3 linked regions of the Mytilus edulis genome follow. Each later gene encodes a partner of the first gene's protein in a complex. Links are inferred from orthologs where the notes say so. Each region holds a gene or a part of one and is shown in the gene's direction. Other genes may lie near its edges. The genes, in order: armadillo repeat-containing protein 8-like, glucose-induced degradation protein 8 homolog and glucose-induced degradation protein 4 homolog.

Region 1 (8,073 bases):
AACTTTAAATAAAAAACAAACATATATTAATTTAAAAAAAGGTATAAACAATTAAATCAATTTCTAAAGGGACTTATCATTTTTAACCTGGGAGGGGGGCTGGTCATTTTGAATTCAAACATATAAAATTTCTTGATCCCTCATAATATTTCACAATTTTCATTTAATCCCCCTAGTAAAACTGACATACGGCCTTTTCCATCAATATTGCAAGTCAGTGCTTTTAGTAGTTTTTTCTGACTTTTTTTTCTAAATTCCTATATTGTGCTAAAAAAGAAAACTTGATCCTAAGCAACTCACACAATAACTTTTAGAAACCGGCAGTAACAATACATTATTTATTTAGAGGAATCTATTATATGAATGCTGCTTAATTAAGCTTTACGTAAGGCCTTATTGAAACCTCAATTGAGTCGCTAAACTTTTATATGCAATTTAAAAAAAAAAAAAACTTCTAGAAAATATCATTTTTTTGTAGTTTGAAAAATAAAAAAAACTCGACCAGGAGTTGTCTACCATAAGCATAAGTCTAGGGAACTGGGGTAAGGGGACACATTAAGCGTATACAGTATACACACGTTTCGGTTCGCTGGGACATGTATGATATATTAAGAATTATAATTTATAGTTTAGCTAGCTATAAAACCAGGTTCAATCCCCCATTTTCTACATAAGAAAATGCCTGTACCAAGTCAGGAATATGACAGTTGTTTTCAATTCGTTTGATGTGTTTGAACTTTTGATTTTACCATTTGATTGGGGACTTTCCTTTTTGAATTTTCCTTGAAGTTCATTTTTTTTGTGATTTTACTTTTTTCTCCAAGTCACAGTTTCTTCCAAAATTACTGAATGATCGATGTGTCAATGACAATGTTGATTATCCAACATATTACTTTGTTTAAATTAGTATTACGTACATGGGGGAAAATATACTTGCCTCCCCGTGCCGCTAAAGTTATATTTGCTTAAGAGCATAAAAAACCACATCTATTTCCATAGCTACGACCATACAATAAAGATACATATAACATCCCCCAAAAAGAAAATTTCCCAAATTTTATCAAAATGGTGTATGTGTTTTATCCATATAAAAATTGCACTATAATAAATTCAAACTATATAATCACTTCCGTATATTAAGACTCAATCAGTTTCCAACTAATCTTTGTAAATACATTTGTATCAACTGAAATATTCTGGCTGACCAGTTCTCAATCTAGCATCGTATACATGTGCCGACATTTTTGTTTAAATGTACTTTAATCACTCTAATCATTCTAATAATCATTTACTGGGCTTTATTTTGTCAGTCATGCATCGTTGACAATGTAATGGAATTTGATGCGACTGTCATACAAGTGAGAGGTTTAGCTAGCTATAAAACCAGGTTCAATCCACCATTTTCTACATTAGAAAATGCCTGTACCAAGTCAGGAATATGACAGTTGTTATCCATTCGTTTGATGTGTTTGGACTTTTGATTTTGCCTTTTGATTTTTGATTTTCCTTTTTGAATTTTCCTCGGAGTTCAGTATTTTTGTGTTTTTACTTTTTTTGATTGTGTAGCTCAAATTTTGGGCGCAATGTATATTGATTGGTGGAAAAAAATACCTGTACAAGATATGAAAAAAATAAACGATTTTTTTATTCAATCATTGATAACAGTTCAATTTTGTTATAATAAGTAAAGAAACATCGCTGATAAATGGTTCGCTTGCAATTGAATTATTATTACATGGGTTTGATAGATATAGGAAGATTTGAGTGACAACTCTCCATCCAAGACATACTTTATAAAAGTAAACCATTAATTATAGGTCAATGTAAGGTCTTCAACACGGAGCCTGGGCTCACACCGAACAGCAAGCTATAAAGGGCCCCAAAAATTACTAGTGTAAACCCATTAAAACGGAACAGCCGAGAAATCGGTATATAACAGAATTTCGTCACCGTCCGGCAATTTTCTAAATCGGAAGTTAAGTACTTAATTGTGTTATATAAAGGAATATACGGTAGGGAAAACAAATTCTGAGACGAGTGCCTGTGATCAAATATAAGAATTTGAGTCACTCAAATCGATGAACATGAATTGTCAGTTTATGCCCCTATAAGGGTTACGTAACTAAGAAAGAATAAAATATAAAATTGAGAATGGAAATGGGGAATGTGCCAAAGAGACAACAGCCCGACCATATAGCTGACAACAGCAGAAGGTCACCAACAGGTCTGCAATGCAACGAGAAATTCTCGCACCCGGAGGCGTCCTTCAGCTGGCCCCTAAACAAATATATACTGGTTCAGTGATAATGAACACCATACTAAACTCCAAATTGTACACAAGAATTATCAATTCATAACATATATGAGAAGAACATAACCCGTGTCATGCCAACAACTGGTTTAAAATAATAAATGTGTTTATATTCCGGACCATATGAGTATTTGGACCATACGCGTATGGTCATGACCATATGCGTATACTCATATGGTCCGACCGTACGCGTATGGTCGGACCATATGAGTATATACTCGTTTTGTTATAAACGGGCCGGACCATATGAGTATTAGGACAATATAGGTATATTTTTCAATAATATGCACGAGAAAACTTTATAAAATAACAATGATTGCTACATGCAATTGTATTATTTACAATTCAAATAACATTAAATATTGATGCCAAAGTTAGTTTTCATCACTAATTGTATTCTTGCATGGATGCGTAGGGTGACATTTACGTCCACACGGCACCATAGCTTTTCTTGGGTCCGGGGTCATTCCGATGTGTCTACGGTGAAAAAGCTCTACTAGATCTTCAATATCGCAACATGACTGAAGTACATCATATCACCAGACAACTTTAAAAAATGAACTAGTGTCGACATTTTGTCATTCACTCGTAATAGCATATCGGTAATGAAAAAAAAATGTGTGTTTACTATAGTTTAGTGATGAAATTTGCTGTGTGAAACTGCTCATTTTATTTTGTTAATCTTGTTATTACTAATTTTTAATGAAAAAAATACCTTTAGTAGTGTCTTTTTAGTGACGTGACAACTAGAAGGGTTATATAAAGAGGTAAGCATAAATATACCGCGACCATACGCGTATGGTCACACCATATGAGTATATACCCATATGGTCATGACCATACGCGTATGGTCCAAATATTCATATGGTCCGGAACATTTATATAGTTCACAGTTGTTATAGTAGTCTCAGCATAAGTGAATCAATATCAACGCCAAAATATGCAATCTTTAATGACCTGAGAACAGTATCGTAACTATACCCCTTCTTAATAAGTCTATTTAAAGGTTTTGTTATCTTCTGAGGTGAATACTGACATTTTTGTGCTTTATAAAAGAATATTTCCATAAAATATTGGATGTGAAATACCTGAACGTATAAGAAGTCTACATGTTGAGCTATATTTACTATTGATGTCCTTACTGGTACCGATGATAAAATTAAGTAAATGTTTTAACTAGTTTGTGATATCGTATTTATCAAGGACTTGTTATCATTATACAAATCGTTGGATGTATTGAGACAGGCAACATCAAGGCGGTAGTTAATTATTATACTGCAGATGACAATATGTTACAGTCAGATGGTGTTCTGAACTGTGCTTTGAAAAAAAAGCGATTTTAAAGCAAATACTAAGACAGTTTTGCAGCAAAGTGTATGATTTTATACATGCAAAATAATTAAGTTTTCTGTCATAACCAGATTTTTCTTATTAATACAGATAAGAATGATTCCACTGAATTATTTGAAATGGCTAATAACTTAACTTAGAATTGAAATGTCACACTAAAGACATGTAGTATATTGTTTTATATATCTCTGGTAATACCAAGTGTTTACATTGTAAAATATAGGCATATTACGACTGGTACTGTGTGACATAACCGTTAAATCCTTAATTAAGAAATAATTCATGGAAGCCATAGATTGTTGGAAATTTACACATGGCCTGGGCCGTGATATTCGAATTTTATCCTGAGCGTTAGCGAGGGATAAAATTAACGAATATCACGGCCCAGGCCATGTGTAAATTTCCAACAATCTATGGCTTCCATGAATTATTTCGATTCTAATAGGACAAATACGGTCATTAAAAAACTGTAGCGATGGTAGGTATGCTGTGTGTGTGGCTGTTCTTTTTTTACTCCCGGTTCGATAAAGCTCAAATATTCATAAAATCTGTAGCTTGCATTGATTGTTTAGTGAATTACCGCTAGAAAAAAAATCTGTTTAATTCTTTAAATTCACAAACCCAACATTTGCCATTTTTAATTTACATGTTTTTCTCGTAAGCTACCGTCAAATCCAAAGTTGACATTTTGTAACTAAGGAGCCGCCATGTTGACTTGCTGAAATCAGTAAATATGCGAAAAATGCAATAGAATAGAAAATAAAACAAAACCTACCTTACAAATCAATTTTAATACAATATTATACGAATTTCGATGGTTCACTTTTCAGAAAACGTTCAACTGTAGCGTTTTCATTTGTATGACGTCATGTTTTGAAATGACTTAAATGCGTCAAAAACATTAAAAGACTTTCGCGGAATTTTATTTTATTTTTATTTTGTTGATTTCTCCGAGCTCTTGTGCATTATTTCTTTTTATTATGCATCCGAATTAGAATAAGTTATTTTGTCTTTTTTAACTGCAATTTAAAAAAAAAATAATCGGCAAATGGTTTACAAATAGGTTCCAATACATGTGGATTTACGTGGGAAATATATTGTAACAGCCATTATTATGTATATCTCTGAGTCTGCGCTAAGTATAGATATATGGAGAATTTTATCACGGTGTTGTTTAGAAAGCGAAAGAAGCACGTCATATTAGAATTGCATATGAAGTAAGAAAAACTTTGCCTCTTTGAATTTCATCTACAATAACTTAAAAAAAAGTGTGTCGTCTCGTTTGATTTATTTTTATGTAACAGAATGTAAAAGGTGAATTTTCGCATATACTACAGAAATTAATGGTATATTAAAATTAGGGGCGAAACTACCATATAACTTACGAAGGATTTCGCCGGTCACAATAAATCGAGTTCAGCCGATCATAGCTAAACTGTTTTGATTTTGCTGAAAACATAACAGAATGATTCAAACAGCTATGGTATACTTCTATCATGACCTTTATTTTTATCTATATAACTGAAGAAACGATTAAAAACCAACATATTCTTCGCTGATCTTTCAGAAATCAAATGAGTGCACTATAAAAATATTGTTTTCTGTTGAAAAAAAAACCAGTATTTATTTATAATTATACATAAAATATAATTGATTACAGTCAACGGTGGTGTAGCCAAATGCACATCTGTTCTTCTGGTATAAGTGCAACTGGTTGACTATTCTGCTACAAGTTTGGAGTGAGCAAACGAATTAATATTTAAACAAAAATGAGAAAAAATCATATTTGCACCTGTACATGTACATGTTCATGATGTTGCAAGTAAAAATATATCATTTAGATTTAACATATTTATTAATTTAATGTCAGCATGTAAAGCCATGAAAGAAGGTTAAGGCACATAAGGTGGTCCACTGATCTTTTTAGTATAAAATGACCAGAGAAAAGACCCCTTCTATACACTTGTTTTGCATGAGGGAATTCTAAATGCCTCTTTGTTGTTATTTCTGGTAGGCCTGTCATTTAATGTCAGCTTACAACATGTATTAATTTTGACATCGTTGTTTTGAAGTCTATGTATACATCATTATCACATATTTGTTACGAATACGTTGGGTTTTGCATATATGTAATAACCTCAAAATAACCTGGGGCAAAAAAGAGGTTATTGGTTATTGTGCCCTGGTTCTAAATAATGTGACGTCATTGCATTCTTAACGACACTTTTATGATAAAATTTGTAAGATTTTACCTATTATGTTTCGTTAAATTGTTATAATTGAATTTTTTTTTCTCTTTTCTGCAGAATTTTTAAATAGATTATAACATGCCTTTTCCATATTGGCCCTGGTATCATCCCTCGACCTATATCGGCCCTCGGCTAAAGCTTTGAGGCCAATATGGAAAAAGGCATGTTATACTCTATACTTATTTACCCCTTTGCCGCTGGAGGGACATATGTTTGTTCGTATCATTGCTTTATATATCTCTAGAAAATTAAATACTGGATTCAAAGATAAAATCATTTGACATGTTTGATGATTTCTTCAGTGTGTACCCAATGTCACATAATTTTATAATATATATGAATCATGACAAATGAAATTACTGCACAGAATCATAATCCATTAATGTACATCCATGTACAAACTGTAGCTTTCATATGGGATATAAATTACAACAACAAAAAATCATGTTTTGAAAAAAAAAATACAAAAGTGCCTTCAATAAGATAAAAGGCAATAAATCATGTTCTAATTAGTAACTTCTGATAACCTGAATTTCTTACAAGATTGATTCATCACAAAATCAAGCTTTTTAGATGGTGCAATTTAATATTTTTTAGAATGTTTTAATACCGTAATTACAATCACTGCAGGATAACTTAGCCTTAAACAAACTGGTGTAAGCAAACTAGAACTACAAACACTGTCCAAATAAATAAATTGAATTTGTTGTAGGAAGTAGATTCTGGATGGGAATGTGTGAATATCATTCTGGCAGACGAACAAGATAAATGGATGGAATCAATTGTGTGAGTATAATGTGATACATGTAGCTGTGTGTTTATTTACCACTTACCCACATTTATGACATTCCCAATTAGAATATAAACACCTTTGATGCAAATGTTTTGAAGCTGAGGTAATTTATACATTGATATTGATCACAAAATATGTTTTATTGTGGTAGCTTTATGTCCCATTGTGGATGAACAGAATATAGTTAAAACTAAACTGATCATGATATGTCACAAAAAAGGAATTTATTATTATGTCAGTATGTGAAACATTGTTAAATAGCCTTTCGACAAAAATCGTTGAAAGGCTATTTAACAATGTTTAACAAAACTAAGTCCATTTTTCTGTAAATGGACTTAGTTTTTTTGTTAGAAACAAAACATTCACTCTGTGGTTTAAGTTTTTAAAATTTTTATAATGTTCTTAAACTATCCTGGATTTCTACCAAACTTAGACAAAAGCTTGTTTCTGATCATAAGATATTGTTCAGAAGTAAATTTTGTAAAAAAAAATTAACTTTTTCCGTATTTTACTTATAAATGGACTTAGTTTTTCTTCAAGTTAACATTACATACAGTCTGCAGTTAAAGTTTATAAAACATTTATTAGATTCATAAACTATCCTGGATTTTTTTACCAAACTTTGAAGCTTCTTTCAATCAAAAGACAGTATCGAGAGGGAAATTTTTATTGATGTTTTTCCTAATTTTTGTTGAGTCTGCGATTAACAGCAAAAGTAGGCGAGACACTGGGTTCCGTGGAACCCTTACGAATTTTTTTATAATTGTACCTGGTGTATGTCAAAAAGATATTTTAATTGTGGAGGGGACAAACAGATTTTTTTTCAATCAGAAACAACTGCAAGAATTATTATGTTTTCATTATATTTTTTTGCCTTTTTTCAACAGACATGTAAAGAACTCTGTGATTGGCAACAATAAACACAAGAATTTAGCTGTCCAACAGGGAATTATACCTAGGTAAGTCATATTTTCAAAACCTTATTTAGCTGTCCAACAGGGAATTATACCTAGGTAAGTCATATTTTCAAAACCTTATCTTATCAAGACTTTCAACATAAAGTTCAGGTTTACTTGAAATTATTCTATGGTTGAGTCACTAAGAAATCTCAAATATAAATCACTTTCCTATCATAATACATGCAGTGTCCCCATAATTTTGAATGCTAGGAGGAACAACTCTTACAAATGATTCAACAAATTAGAGACAACCCCTGGCATTATAAAACAAATGAAAGTTCCAAAAATGTAAATTTAATAAAATTTGAAAATATTTTATTTTTTATTTTTTTCATGCCCCATTTATGGGCATTATGTTTTTTAGTCGTTTATCCATTCGTTTGTTTGTCTGTCGCACGTCTGTCTTCCAGC
Region 2 (7,767 bases), on another chromosome or scaffold:
TTTAACCATTTCTAATTTTACTGGACTAATAAATTCTACTAAAATTTCTGTTATTTTGATAGGTTTCAAACAAGAAGTTTTAAATCACTTAAAGTCATCAAAGAACCAGGTGCTTCGCAGGGCGCAGCTTTATACGACCGCAGAGGTCGAACCCTGAACAGTTCGGGCAAGTATGGACACAACATTCAAGCTTGATACAGCTCTGAATTTGGATTGTGATCAAATTCTTGACATAATATGAGTTTCTGACACAAAACAAATGTCAAGATCTTACAAATCTTTTATGCAATATTGTGCAATTACAGATTTCTTCTTCAAACTTTTCAAAAATTTTTGCAAGAAGTCCAAAACCTGACATTTCTTTGTACATTATTTACAAGTAGTGTTTTGTAGCCCCTAATTCCAAAACATTTTGAACCATAACCCCCAAAGTCATTACTACCCACCCCTTAATGGTATGGAAACTTGTGGTATAATTCCAGAGAGATTCATACACTTAACAACAAGTTATTGTTTGAAAACTACAAAAATGCTTATTTTTGGCCCCTAATTGTTCAACTATTGGGACCATAACCCCCAAAATCTATCCCAACCTTCCTTTAGTGTTAGTGGTATTGAACCTTCTTGAAAAAAATTTATAGAGATCCATTCACTAAATCTAAAGTAATTGTCTGGAAAACCTAGTTTTTCCCCTTTTTTGCCCCTAATTTCCCTTTTTTAGACCCTTATTCCAAATCATTTTGAGCCATAACCCCCCAAATTCATTACTTACCATCCCTTCATGGTATGGAAACTTGTTTAATTTCAGAGAGATTCATACACTTAAACACAAGTTATTGTTTGAAAACTACAAAAATGCTTATTTTGGGCCCCCTTTTTGGCCCCTTCTTCCTAAACTATTGGGACCATATCCCCCAAATTAATCCCAACCTTCCTTTAGTGGTATTTAAACTTCTGGTAAAAATTTACTAAAACTAAAGTTATTGTCAGGAAACTTAATGTGTCTTCAGACAACGCAGATGACGACATGATACCATTATAAGATGCAAAAGTTTTTTTTTGCAGTTGTAAAAAAAGAGAAAGATTTAAATTCCAATAACAAACTACTCATCATAATCAGCAGTCCACAGTCTGAGGGAGCAGGTGTGGGGGGGGGGGAAGAAGATTTAAAATCCAATCATGAGCTCCATAACAATCTTGCTTTCAAATGTTGAGAAAAAAAAATACTTAAAAAAACCTACATTGTATATCGTTTTTATTTTTGTTAAGAAAATGCATTTGTAAAGCTTAGAAACCAGGAAGAAATTCATTGATATTCTTTCCTGTTCTTTTTTTATCTGACAAATATTAAGTAGATTTTTTTTTAATTGAACAAATCTGTATAATGTTTTATTTTGGATACATATAGTTAAAAACAGGTGCAGTGCAGTAAATAAAATGCCATTGCAGCCAACACAAAATGGACACTATTACTCCAACCATCAGCATTACAGATCAATATCAATTTTAGCCACTGCAAGTCAATTGCCTATCAAACATCTTATGCATGTCTATACAATCTAAATTTAAATTCTTATAATGTATTGCATAAAAATGCATCATACAATAATATGTCTTTCTTTAAATCTCTGTTCTGTTCAACTAAGTTAAAACATTTCCAGACTTGATGACTCAATGAATACATACATGTATTGGCACTCACACCACATCATCCTATATCTATATACATTTTACATACTGTTTGGAAGTCATGGAAGTTAATTCAACTAATCAGCATCAAGAAGAAACATTTTTCATAATCAGTACATACAAACTTATTGACTATTGGGAAAGTAAATTAAAATTGTGTCTGAGGACAGAACTGCCCTTGCTCAAAATTTTTCAAGTTAAAAAGGGGCATAACTGAAGAACAGAAAATGACTCACTGCCCAAATTCAAATTCGGTCTGCACATTGTGGTTTTTAGTATTGTGTGTGTTTCATAAAATTGGGATAAGGCAACCTTAAGTTAGTGCAGAAACAAAAAAGTTTGCAATTATCCAAGTTATAAAGGGGCATAACTCTAGAATAGTAAGTGATTCTCTGCCCAAATTTTAACTCTGTCTGCAAGTTGCATTCGAATTCTTAGCATTGTGTACATGTACTACATGTAGTATGATAAAATTTGGATGAGGCTAACTTTAAGATAAAGTGTGGAGACATGCAGAAAGTAAAATGGAAAGACAGACAAACAAAATCAGTAAAGTAGGACATGATTTGAATAAAAGATCACCCTCTTTTTATATGTCTCGCTTTTTGTAAGTTTAATAGTATATTGCAAATGTTGGAATAACAATGTCAATATTTTAAAAACATGTAAACTATATATATGCAAAACATTCAAAGTGAATCAATGACTGAAGAAGCAGGACCAAATTATAACGTCCATGGAAATGAAAAATGCCATAGCTTATAAAACTGCATACCAAATACCAATAACGAATCACAAGTGGTTCCCTTAATTATTGTAACCTAAAAACAAACTTTTTTCTTAAACAGTAAACTATGCAAAAGTTTAAAGTCAATGAACCATGATGATAAGGCTGGCCCATATACAATCTCCATGGGAAATTGTGAATGAGACTTGATAATGCTTATGAAACTGCATGTACATGTACCACTGACTTAATATTCATTTTTTACGAATGTACCTCAGGTAATTAATAAATTGAAAGTTTCTATGATTTCCTGCCATTTGATACAAAAATGTACATGTAAACAAATGATCAAACTGGGTCATGATCATTCATTGAATATTACATGTACCTTGTTCAACCACCCAAGACAATGTCAATAATGCAATCAACTGTCAATATACATCCCTTGTGGCAGTACTAGTGTTCACACCATTTAACACTAATTATATTTCTTAATTGCCACTGACATGATAATTGGATTAGAAATATCCAGAATTTAACTTCAATCTATTGAATTTTCAAGTGTGGCAGACAATAAAATAAGTGTGGCAGACAATAAATTAAATGTGGCGCTAGGAATTCAGTCTGCACGGTTAGCCACTAGTCCGATGCCCCAGACTAGTAAAATTTCATTTGGACTAGTGAGTTTTTTGCAAAATTTAGTTTGGACCTACATGTATAAGAAAAATGTCAGAATATTGGTCTTCGGACAAGTAATTGAAAAAGTTTAGAATACATGTACTATTGTAGTATTAAGATCTTGGAACCAATACAAAAATTTATATATTTGTTCTACATGTAGTTTAAGTACATTGTATAACTAAAAAGAGGGTTGTATTGAATATGGGAGTACAGTACTAGTACATTCATGAAGAAAAAATTTTGATGAGTATATAACCAGATGCTCCGCAGGACGCAGCTTTATATGACCGCAGAGGTCGAACCCTGAACGGTTAGGGCAAGTGTGGACACAACATTCAAGCTGGATACAGCTCTGAATTTGGGTTGTGATTCATAAAGAGTTAACACAGCATAGGTTTCTGACACAGAATGAATGTGGTCTAATGAACTTAATTTTTATTTTTTGCTTTTGAGCAATTCACTATGCTGTTGAATATTAATCCTCTCTCCTCTTTAAAAGAACTCAGAAGAATTTACAAACGTGCTAATTTTTCATTTGATTTCCTATCAGTATAGTACATAGATAATAAACACACATGTACAAATGTAGTACATGATGCACTGGTCTATTCGAAATATCAAATCCTGTGGTCAGAATTAGGCCGTACCTGTTGTCAGTGTAGCGATAAGTGAACACAACAGGGGTCCAGTTTACAGGGGGTCTCATTTGGGGGTTCTGATCCCGGATCCCGCTTACTGTTTTGTCAGATTCCCATATCCCGCTTACACTATGTACCTAAGCAATTCTTATTTTTTTGTAATTTCCCGTGTCCCGCTAGACTTCATTTCCAGTTTTCATGGCACAATAATTTGACTTTCACGTGTCACAATTAAAAAACATTTGTCAATCCCTTGTCACGCTTAGACCCCAATGAGACCCACTTTACAGTTTTAGCTACATAATGTAGAGTCGGTAGAGACTTGACGAATCAAGAATAGCATATTTTGACAAATCAAGGTAAATTTTGACGAATATGGTAAATTTCAACCAAATTTTACGCTAAAAAAAAGCTGCAAGTGACTATTTGACGACTGACGGCAAAGGGCATTCCTACCCACTGAAACGGTTCAGCAACAATAACCTAGGGAGTTCAACTAACTGATTGAGGATGACTACCTCTTATAAATGTGTTACACAGTGTGTTGACAAAGGAAAATAAATACTTGTCTGCATTTGTATAATGACACATTAATTTCAATATACATGTATCATCTTGTGATATGCAATTAAAACTAGTTGCAGCTGCAGAGCAGGTGCTTGATCAATAAAACTGATTTTCATTTTATGCTTGTTTCTAATTTCTCTCTATTTTCTTAATTTCTGTCTTGAAATTTTTACCTTTCTGCCATTTTGGCTTAAATCTAAATATAATTAACTTGTCTCCATCACTGTAAATTTCCAGGTCAACATCACATTTGACAGTTCAATCAGAATTTATGTACAAATATGCGCCATCTTGTTTTTTCCGAGGCGTTGTCACGGAGCACTGCGAAGAATAACGAAGTTAAAATCCTTGTTTTCTTAAGTATTCATGTCCTAAATATTGCAATCAAGCTCTCTTATACGTGGATTATATACAGACATGAGGGTTTGTCCTGATTGTCACGACAAAAACCGGTTCAACAGACCAATATTTGTTTATTTCCGCTTCTGAAGTAAACTTCCGGTTTCTTCAAAACAATGAGCATGAACTGGTGACTTCTTTATACTTTGATTTGTTTTCTTTCCCTTTGTAAATTTAATTTAACAGTTCTTGTTTTTCCAAAGAACACACATAAACATTCATAATACTCTTTATGTCCAATCAGCTCTACTGATAAATTTAACACATGAATTTATGTCAAAGGCATGCACCAAAGAAAAACAACTTTATTTTTTTTTTTCTCAGAAAAGATTATTTGAATAAACAGTGGGTTGTATATCTTCTATGCATAATGTCTTATGCCGCATTTACCCATTGGAAACCAGAAGATGAGAGTGGCTCAATACAAAACATGCTTTCAAGACCTCTCAGGGTGACTGGGGAAACGAAATATGGTCACTTGGTCTTCTCCCGACCTGCAGTAAAACGCTTGCCAAATTGGAGTATCCGTTTGGCTGTGCAGCATTAATCAAGTTTGCTGCCACTGTAGTATCCAGATTAACCCATGATGTGAGTTCCCGGGTTAATCTGGATACTACAGCCACGTCGGGTCAGAATTGGGATGTTAAATCCAATGTCTGGCGTAGAGAGAGTGCCACGCTCTATGCACCTTCAGAACCTTTACAACAAATCTTTGAAGGGTCCGTAGGTTGCCTGTTGCAAAGTAAAATTTCTGTCCCTATCCAATTTACCCTCATTTTCCAGTGACAGTCCAAATTTCCACTACCATCAACCCTGATGGCCTCTACCATTACAAAACCTACCTAAATTGTATTTAGTGTGAACTTGTTCTTGTCCTGAAGTTCAACATGCATGAAATATTTCCCACTGGACTTTAAGCAACCAACAAACAATCAAGACGTCGCAGCAACACAACCAGTTTGGCCACAGTACCATTTTGGTTATATTAATTTCAGGCACAGTCATTTCAGATTTGGTCATTACTTTTCATGTTGTTCTGAACATCATGAGCATGAAATATATATTAATTATTTTTAATATTACTTGACAAAAAGAGGGTGCAACACTTTCTTTACGTCAACATCATAAAGTTATTATCAAATAATCTTCAATGGTACCAACACCAATTTTGAAATTAATTTGAATCAGCATTTTGAGAACCACTTTATATTAATATCTACTAGCAGCAGCTTGTATTATAACAATTTGTTATAAGAATATACATTCACCAACTGTACATTGTATGAGCCTGAACCCAGGTTGGAAACTGGTGTTTCTTAGTTATTAAAACCATAATTGAAAATTTGAATATATATCAAAGATATACATGTAATATTGAACAAAATGATCTGAGGAATCATTATTATTATGATGGTATCTAGTAGTTTTGTACCATATTCATTTCGTACCATTGCCATTTCGTCATGTTTGTACCCAAAATTACCATTTTGTACCATGAATTCTACATTTTGCACCGTGAACATGAAATATTTTGTAGTTATTATTTTTTTTTTACCATTTCGTACTACATAAATGATTTGTACTAGATATGGAAAAATTATTTACATTTCATCTCCAAACAAGAATTTTTCTGTACACAAAAGGAAATTTAACTTACATGTACCTTCTGTACTGAAATATGAATATATCTAAAAATAACAAACGACAGTATGAAATTGTAATCATTATAATCTTCCATATGGTACAAATTGGTATACATTATAATCTTCCATATGGTATGAAATGGTTTACATCATAATCTCCCATATGGTTAAAAATGGTATACATAATATCCCATTTGGTACAAAATGGTATACATAATCTCCCATTTGGTACAAAATGGTATACTAATATAACCTCCAATATGGTACAAAAATGGTTATATAATTATAATATGAAATGGTTTTTGTTATGATACAAAATGGTTATGGTATGAAATGATTTCCAATAATTATTTTACAATTTTTAACATGCATGAACAATTTGTAGATAATTTCTAATGTGTCTTGTACATTTCTGTTCATTAATAATAGAAAATATGTTTTATTCATACAGGTATGTTACCCGCAAGATGAATTTCGGTGCGGCAGCAGAAAAACTGGAAGAAATTCCCAAAGATGAATGGTTAGAACGCCTCCAGGGAGTACAAGTAACGAGAGGAGACATGAATAAACTTATAATGAACTATTTAGTCACAGGTATCTTCTCAAAGTATTGCTAAGGAAACATTTTTTTGTATAAGGGACTTCTGTTAGTATGAGGAAATTTTACTAGTCATTTATTCATAAATGATTTAGATATATATGTACGCATACATGTACATGACATGAAGCAAATTTTTATTTTTGATTTGTTTTCTTGTGGTGAATTAAAACATTTTTTATGCGACACAATCGACAACACAAAAAAAGCCAAGACACAAACAAGCTTATATTAACATATGGTTTTCTACACAAAACAAATGTTTGCCCAATTTGTTAAGAATGAATTGGCAGAAAGTCTGAAAAAAGTTGTAAATAAATTAAATAAGACAGACTCAGTAAAAGATTTTCTGTTGCCACCAAACTATCTATAAAAAGGACAAAAATCATTAGGAAAGAATTGGAGGCAAAAACTGACTAAAGTTCGTAACTAGTGACAGACGCAGGAAATTATGACAGTGATTGAATTTTTTAAATGATTTGATCTCCATCTTTCCCATTTATTTAGATAAGTAATGTAATAAAATGCAAATATATTAAATGGTGTTAAATTAAAATCAGTTGTAAAAAGCACATATATCTTGTCAATAGAAGACACTAACATGAACATATAAACAATGAAATAATTTGATATCAAGAATACTTGCAGTGAATTGATAGTTTGATTGGTGTATAATGCCACTTTCAGTACGAATGTGCTATTTTATGTTTGCCATTTTTTATTGACGAAGGAAGCTGGAGTGCCCAAAGCTGATGAACATTTCAATAATATAAAGGTCTCCTTGGAAATAGAGAGGCGAAAGATACCAAAGGGACATTCAAACTC
Region 3 (7,246 bases), on another chromosome or scaffold:
TGATATTTCAGGGGTATGTAACAGAAACTTGTAGGGCCCTGTGGATACAATACCAAGACAAGTGGCAGTTTTTCTTACAGGAAGAGAATTGCAATACGGACTTAGTTAACAGTAACAAAATAATGCAATTTCTTACAAATGGCCTTTAATTATGCTAGATCTCTCAACTTAATCCAAAAATAATTTCAGTCATGAGCCTTTAAGAATCAGTCATGACTGGATTTCGAAAATTTAACATATCTAACAGGATTAACTATCAATTAAAAAATCCATACAGATTACCCGAAAGTATGCAACAACTCATTCAGTACAGACAGTAGGTACACTTACATATCCAAGACAAACATTTTTTTATTTATATACATGTATTTAGAGAATTACATTGAGATTTATTCTAGAGATTTTCATAATGGTCTTTATAATTAAACATATAACATACCATAGCGTGTCTGTCTCTGCATAATGTAATGTACTCCGTACTAAATCTTCTCTTGATTTATATGTAGGGTTATCCAATGCTGTATTGCACAGTGATGTCTGAAATAAACAGAACAAAGTTTCAAATGTGGCTCAGTATTGAAATATACTGCCCAATCTAAAGTGAGCCTTATCTAAAATTGAAAAAAAATCAGATAATCTGGAGTTACTCCACTGTTTTTATATCACATCCATAAAAAAATAGTGATCAACACTGAAAAATTTGTACAAATATATTATCACAATTTTGCTTGGGACATTATCTCTTAATCATAAAAAAAAATTGCTAAAGTCTAATAAATTCTATAAAGGATTGACAACAAAATTGATACATTTTTGTATGTAACAAACTTTAACAACAGTCAGTATTTACATGTTAATTGTGAAAAAATTATCTATGGCTTCAATACTTATGTATGTGCTCTTACTAAATGCATATAATGTCTCTTGACTATTTTGTGTTGCATATTCCATTCTGTAGCTACAGCTAAAGCCAGTGCCTCATTTGGAACTTTGAAAACCTTTCCATTTGGTGTCTTCAATTTTTTCTGGTCTAAATTTATTTCAAACCAGCCTAGAAAACAAGCAACCAAAAATTATCATTAGTATGAAGGCAAAACTTAATACATTTAGTACAGTGAAATGACCATGTAGGGAGTAATAGTTTTTACAAAAAAATCACAAAATCATTATTTCCCATTTGCTAAGTTGTGTTATTTAGGTTTGGCAAACTCATTTAGCTGTTAAGTTCAAAATAAACAGACTTCGATTGATAAATGATGTAGAGCATTAACATTTAAATCCAGTAAATAGTCAACAACAATTTGTCTACAGTCATATATCTGCTAAGTATTTCTGAGTTGCTTTAGAAATTCAAAAATTATATGTCAAATAATTATCACTGTAATACATAATGATCACAAACATTTAAAGTGTTGATGCATCTGATCTTGTGAATATGTAAGTATTTTCAATATATATGAAGCCTTCATATATATATATTGAAAATACTTACATATTCACCCTGTCCAAAGTCAAGATCTTGTAATGTAGTGGTTATCTTTTGATGCTGTATATCATATTTGTTTTTCATTCATTGTTTTGTACATAAATCAGGCTGTTAGTTTTCTCGTTTGAATAGTTTTACATTTGTCATTTCAGGGCCTTTAATTACTGACTGTATATAGGTTTTGCTCATTGCTGAATGCCATACTGTGACCTATTGTTGTAAACTTTTATGTCATTTAATTTTGATCTCTGGTGGAGAAGTGTCTTATTAATAATCATACCACATCTTCTTATTTTTATTTATGTATAAGATTTTGACATTTTAATTTTACCCTTACAAGACATTTTTATATTACAGTAGGTAATCACTGTAATGGAAACATCTATTTATTCAAATTGTTTTTGAACAATAACGCAAAACTATTTCCACTTTCAATTATTATTCATACCATTTGTCTGAGTTATAGTTGCATTCTTGTAAAATTTCTTTAACTCTAAAAAGAAAAAAAGAAAACTGTTGTTAATGCTGCACATACTGTACCTATGGTACATACACATTTTTGTGGATGTTGAAGGCTAAAGTTTTTAACGAAGTGTAAATTTTCTAGTGACATGAATACAGACTGTGGCAAATCTTTGAAATGAAACATCCATCAATGCACATTTTTTTCTCAATCCAAGATAACTTGCTACTGTGCATAGAAATTAATTACTCTAACAGCTAGACTATAAATAAAATATACATATCACATCAAAGCCAAAATATTTTATTTTTAATATGATATTTTATTACTATAAAAATTTTGGAGAAAAAAAGTATAAAAAAAAGAAAGTATTTTAAATACAATTTTCCTGTCACATTGATGACCTGAACACCTGTTGGTCATGATTTTTGTTTGTAAATACTATTACATGTATTATAAAACAAGGATAATCAGCAAATTCCATGTCATTTATCTTACTACATGTAGTCTATCCTATGGCTCACCCCGCTGTATAGTCATCATAACAATTTATGTTTCATTGGATTTTTCAAAAACCTTAATCTCATGCAAACATTACATTTTTTACTTGCATCTCTTTATTAACAAGAGTGCACATGCTGAAATGTCTCGCCTTCTTAAAGTTCTTTACTAATCATTGATACTATGTTGCTAGTCCTAAATATAAAGCTTTACTACAATCATTGAATACACTAAATATAGTTGACCTATTGCTTACAGTTTCTAAGAAACAGACTTTACCATGTAAACTAAACATTGACTATTATTATACATTTGTACTTCACGTTAAAATGCCATATTTTGATTGGGTGTTAATTTTCTCTATCACATGCTTCGCCATGGTTGACAATGTTTTCATGGGGTAACAATCTGCTCTATCACCCTTTCAGCTATCATGGCTATGTATTATTTATATAATAAACCATGAAAATGAGGTCAAGGTTAGATGAACCATGCCAGGCAGACATGTACAGCTCACAATTCTTCCATACAACAAATATACCTGACCTATTGCTTATAGTTTAACAAAAAAAGACCAAAACACAAAACTTAACACTTAGCAATGAACCGTGAAAATGAGGTCAAGGTAAAATAAAACCAGCGAGACTGACATATACAACATAAAATATTTCTATGCACCAAATATAGTTGACTTATAGCTATTGCATATAGTATAAGAAAAAGACCAAAACTTAAAAACTTAACTTTGACCAATGAACCATGTGACAAAAGTCACAGGCTTTACAAAAACAATGAAAGATAACCATGATAACTGGTCAATTAAACAATACAAATTTTCATAATTTGCTGATGCATACAGGTTTTGCCTAGACTTCATCCATTTTGTCATTTCAAAGTGGTCTATAGTGGATTCATTGATTGTTTGGTGTTTAACACAACTTTCAGCACTAACGTTTTACTTCATGGGGGTCGGTCTTTATTGGTAGAGGTAGCCAGAGTGCCTAAAGAAAAAACCATGACCTTGGATTAGAAAGCTGACAATCCTAGTTAATTTAGATTGAAGTCAAGTTCACCTGCCACATTCCAGATTTTAACTCACACAATTGACAGGCTAGTGATACAATAAGACTGCCACCGAGCCTTAAAATGTTTTCTTAGTACATTGTAACTTAGTATTAATAACATATGAATAAATTAAATGTCAAAATTTCCGATGACCTTCATTTAAACATTTACAAAGGATTTTTTTCTTAAAGCTTGTTAACCCTATTTTACTTGTAGAAATTGGCCATATCAACCTGGTTTGGTATGGGCCAGAGATTGATTTGAAACAAAGAGGAGGCTCAGGAGCTCATTTGGTTCCCATTGGAATGCTAACCGTACGTAAATAAACATGTTCTCAATGTAACGTAATTCAAACTACTGATGCCCTAAGCCTCTTAGAACAAATGTAATTATAATGCATAAAAAGAAAACAGATAGTACTAACAATATCAGTTTTTAACATTGATTTTCTAAAAAGGGGGAAGCTAATTTTGTTATTTGGATTGTGATTTCATATGGTTAGTGTTGTTTGACATTGAAATGTACATGCCTCTTGGGTTGAATCTTCTCACAGAACAAGTGCAATGTGAATTTGATACATTTAAGAAACTTTTGACAGCTGAATGATAAATTCTCATGGGCGCAGCCATTTTTTAAACGAATATGTTAAACTTTCTGTGATTGGTTGAAAAAATCCGGAAACAATAATCCGACCAATCACCGGTGTCAAAAGAAATGTCCATTTTGACAATTTACAGGAATGCCAAAACAATGCCGGTAAAGCTTGACCCACCACCTCCTGCGAATAGCAACCTCCCTGGAATAACCACCAGTCTATTGTACAATGGATCAAGGTTTCAGGGACACCAAAAAAGCAAAGGCAATTGCTATGATGTAGAAGTTATTTTACAGGTATTGAAAATAATAGTAAATGATTTCTACTGTAAATCCATTCTCAGTTTCTAGATATTTAAGAACTTATAAGATGTGGTATGAGTGCCAATGAGACAATTCTCCATCCTAGTCAGAATAAGTAAAAAGTTTACCTTTTAAGGTCAAGGTACAGCCATCAACAGGGAGCTGAATTGAAGAGGTCCAGCAAGAAATTTAAATACATGTATGTAGCCTTTCAAGACATATGCATGTCATAGTAAAAAAATAAAATACTTTTAAAAAGCCATTCTGGCATTCATCACATCAAAGTTAAAGTTAAGACAAGACGTCATAATTGTTAGGACTAGGGCTCTCACTAGTTCTTTTTCAGAAAATTTTTGCACCAAATAAATTATACCATTCTGGCCGTTGTGCCTACTACAGTTAAAAAAAAACAAATATCAATATTTTTAAAACTTTAGCTTATTATCATAATCAGGTTCTGTTCATATGAGATGCATTATTTATTGCTTGATCTGGCTATCACATATAAACTCAATAATACAACAGAAACTTAAATTGCAGAGTTATCTCCCATGGCAATTTTTATTATGAAATGTGTGCTTCCCAGCTGTTGTCTGGAAGTGCATTTCCAAAGGGAAATGACTTTTAAAGCCTGATTTAGTTGATACAAATATAACACATTCTATTTTTTTAAGCTAGAATTCATTTCATTTGCAAACCACATAAAGGCTCACCAAAGGTTTATATAGACAAGTATTAGGTTTTGTACATTGTAAGTCAAAGTTTGAGCTTAAATATATTATGGGGCATGCACAATAGGCTGTACAAATGTTCTTCTTTTGAAAATTTTGATTTGGAATTGAAAACAAAAAGTTTGCCAACATAAAGTTCTAAGAAGTACTTCTATATAATTTTTGAAATAATTTTTAAAACTTATCTTAGGGCAAATGTTTACACAAAAGTATTTAATTATTTCATTTGCCATGTCTGCAAAGTTAGTATGGAATTTCTCTACCAAATTATGATATGTGAGAAATTAAAATTTCATTCAAATTTTTTAAAGGGAGATAATTCTTAATATGCAAAATTGAACTTTTATATGTATAGCGATTTCCAAATCTGAAAAACATCCAAATTTATTTTATTTCATGGCATCTTCTATAGGAGTCTGGACTTCAAAAAATCACTTTAAAATCAAATTTTTGATTTTCTTAAACATAAAATGTATTTAAACCATGGTTATCTAGAGTCCATGCCATAATTTTCCCCAGCTTTTCAGATTGTCTGTACTAAAAAAAATTAGGTTCATACACAGCCACATTTGCCAAAAGATTCACAAAAACAAAAATTGGGGAAAAATGTGATATAAATTACGAAATCAATTTTAATGCCAGAACTGCAGGCACCAGGACCATTAACACTTAAGTTAATTTGCCTGAGCTTTAAAAAAAGAAAATACAACTTGATAAGTTTTAGGCATTGGAAAAGCTTTTAAATAGAGAGTAACCAAAAATACTACATAAATTTAACCAAAAATACAACACAAATTTAACCTAATTAAAATACAACATAAATTAACCAAAAATACAACATAAATTTAATCCTATTAATGTAGCCTTATATTTAACATTATTTTTTCTTTTCAGTATGTTGATATGGACAATTCTTATCTCTGTGGTTATTTGAAGATAAACGGCCTAACAGAGGAATACCCAACATTGACAACATTCTTTGAAGGGGAGATAATCAGTAAGAAACATCCATTTCTTACCAGGAAATGGGAGGCTGATGAAGAAGTAGACAGAAAACATTGGGTAATAAATTAATTAATATAATGACTTTTAATGAACAAAAAGCTTTGCATGCATCAATGTGCAATATGCATATGCTGTTCACAATTGTTTGCCCTTGTTATCTTTTATATTTTTTTATTTAAATAAATGAATTGAAAAATCCAATATTTTTCGTAATTTTTAAAAACATTTTCAAACTTCCTTTCTATCAGTAATTATTTGAAACAAATGATAATATCATTCCAGCATCTACTATTTCTTAACATATTTTTATTCTTCTCATATCATAATCATGTAATATTTTTAATACTTTCAGGGGAAGTTTTTATCTTTTTATCCATTTGCCAAGAATTTTAACTCTGATTCTTTTGATTATGAAGAATTAAACAACACAGATTTTGTATTTATGAGATGGAAGGTAAGCTTCTTAACATTATGTTGAGTTTATAAAACAATTAAATTGAGAATGGAAATGGGGAATGTGTCAAAGAGACATCAACCCAACCATCGAAAAGACAACAACAGAAGGTCACCAAAAGGTCCTCAATGTAGCGAGAAATTCCCGCACCCGGAGGCTTCCTTCAGCTGGCCCCTAAACAAAAATATACTAGTTTAGTGATAATGAACACCATACTAAACTCCAAATTGTACACAAGCAACTATAATTAAAAATAATACAAGACTAACAAAGGCAAGAGGCTCCTGTCTTGGGACAGGCGCAAAAATGTGGCAGGGTTAAACATGTTAATGAGATCTCAACCCTCCCCCTATACCTCTAGCCAATGTAGAAAAGTAAACGCATAACAGTACACACATTAAAATTCAGTTCAAGAGAAGTCCGAGTCTGATGTCAGAAGATGTAACCAAAGAAAATAAACAAAATGACAATAATACATAAATAACAACAGACTACTAGCAGTTAACTGACATGCCAGCTCCAGACTACAATTAAACTGATTGGAAGATTATGATTTCATCATATGTATATCAAGCACAATCCTTCCCATTAGGGGTTTAGTATCATACCATCATAACATATATGAGAAGAACATAACCCGTGTC

Evidence for each region.
Region 2: the proteins of armadillo repeat-containing protein 8-like (region 1) and glucose-induced degradation protein 8 homolog are in contact, whole or in part, in a cryo-EM structure (PDB 7NSC), measured with the Homo sapiens proteins. The link is inferred for Mytilus edulis from reciprocal best matches to the Homo sapiens genes ARMC8 and GID8. Residues at the interface, in NP_001350870.1 of Homo sapiens: Asn45, Val47, Ile48, Gly49, Asn50, Val85, Ser89, Met92, Arg127, Arg130, Arg161, Tyr162, Tyr166, Leu200, Ser201, Tyr202; in NP_060366.1 of Homo sapiens: Ile83, Ala84, Asn87, His90, Pro91, Glu92, Leu94, Asp95, Thr96, Tyr101, Tyr183, Glu184, Asn185.
Region 3: the proteins of armadillo repeat-containing protein 8-like (region 1) and glucose-induced degradation protein 4 homolog are in contact, whole or in part, in a cryo-EM structure (PDB 7NSC), measured with the Homo sapiens proteins. The link is inferred for Mytilus edulis from reciprocal best matches to the Homo sapiens genes ARMC8 and GID4. Residues at the interface, in NP_001350870.1 of Homo sapiens: Glu309, Pro310, Asp311, Val312, Asn371, Glu373, Arg406, His409, Arg413, Ser414, Val415, Gln416, Arg419, Thr420, Gln423, Asp424, Val444, Ser448, Cys451, Asn452, Leu455, Phe457, Ala483, Val486, Asn487, Trp490, Met493, Asn494, Phe497, Gln498; in NP_076957.3 of Homo sapiens: Leu104, Ile105, Pro106, Pro107, Pro108, Pro109, Ile110, Gln114, Pro115, Gly116, Val117, Ala118, Thr119, Gly125, Gln146, His147, Tyr154, Cys156, Tyr158, Phe174, Glu176, Phe239, Val241, Pro242, His244, His292, Ser293, Ala294, Pro295, Ile296.

What each region holds. Positions count from the first base shown.
Region 1 is NC_092345.1:44,936,243-44,944,315, forward strand, and holds the start of armadillo repeat-containing protein 8-like, read left to right. Parts: upstream 1-5,042; 5' UTR 5,043-5,126; coding exon 5,127-5,144; intron 5,145-6,622; coding exon 6,623-6,696; intron 6,697-7,590; coding exon 7,591-7,662; intron 7,663-7,691; exon of another isoform or gene 7,692-7,716; intron 7,717-8,073. UniProt on the Homo sapiens protein: Component of the CTLH E3 ubiquitin-protein ligase complex that selectively accepts ubiquitin from UBE2H and mediates ubiquitination and subsequent proteasomal degradation of the transcription factor HBP1.
Region 2 is NC_092350.1:18,419,774-18,427,540, forward strand, and holds the start of glucose-induced degradation protein 8 homolog, read left to right. Parts: upstream 1-4,692; 5' UTR 4,693-4,817; coding exon 4,818-4,831; intron 4,832-6,795; coding exon 6,796-6,938; intron 6,939-7,767. UniProt on the Homo sapiens protein: Core component of the CTLH E3 ubiquitin-protein ligase complex that selectively accepts ubiquitin from UBE2H and mediates ubiquitination and subsequent proteasomal degradation of the transcription factor HBP1.
Region 3 is NC_092352.1:28,226,999-28,234,244, reverse strand, and holds the start of glucose-induced degradation protein 4 homolog, read left to right. Parts: upstream 1-4,202; 5' UTR 4,203-4,229; coding exon 4,230-4,406; intron 4,407-6,037; coding exon 6,038-6,205; intron 6,206-6,500; coding exon 6,501-6,602; intron 6,603-7,246. Other genes in the region: ATP synthase mitochondrial F1 complex assembly factor 2-like, read right to left, coding at 440-537, 906-1,051, 1,935-1,979, 4,045-4,144.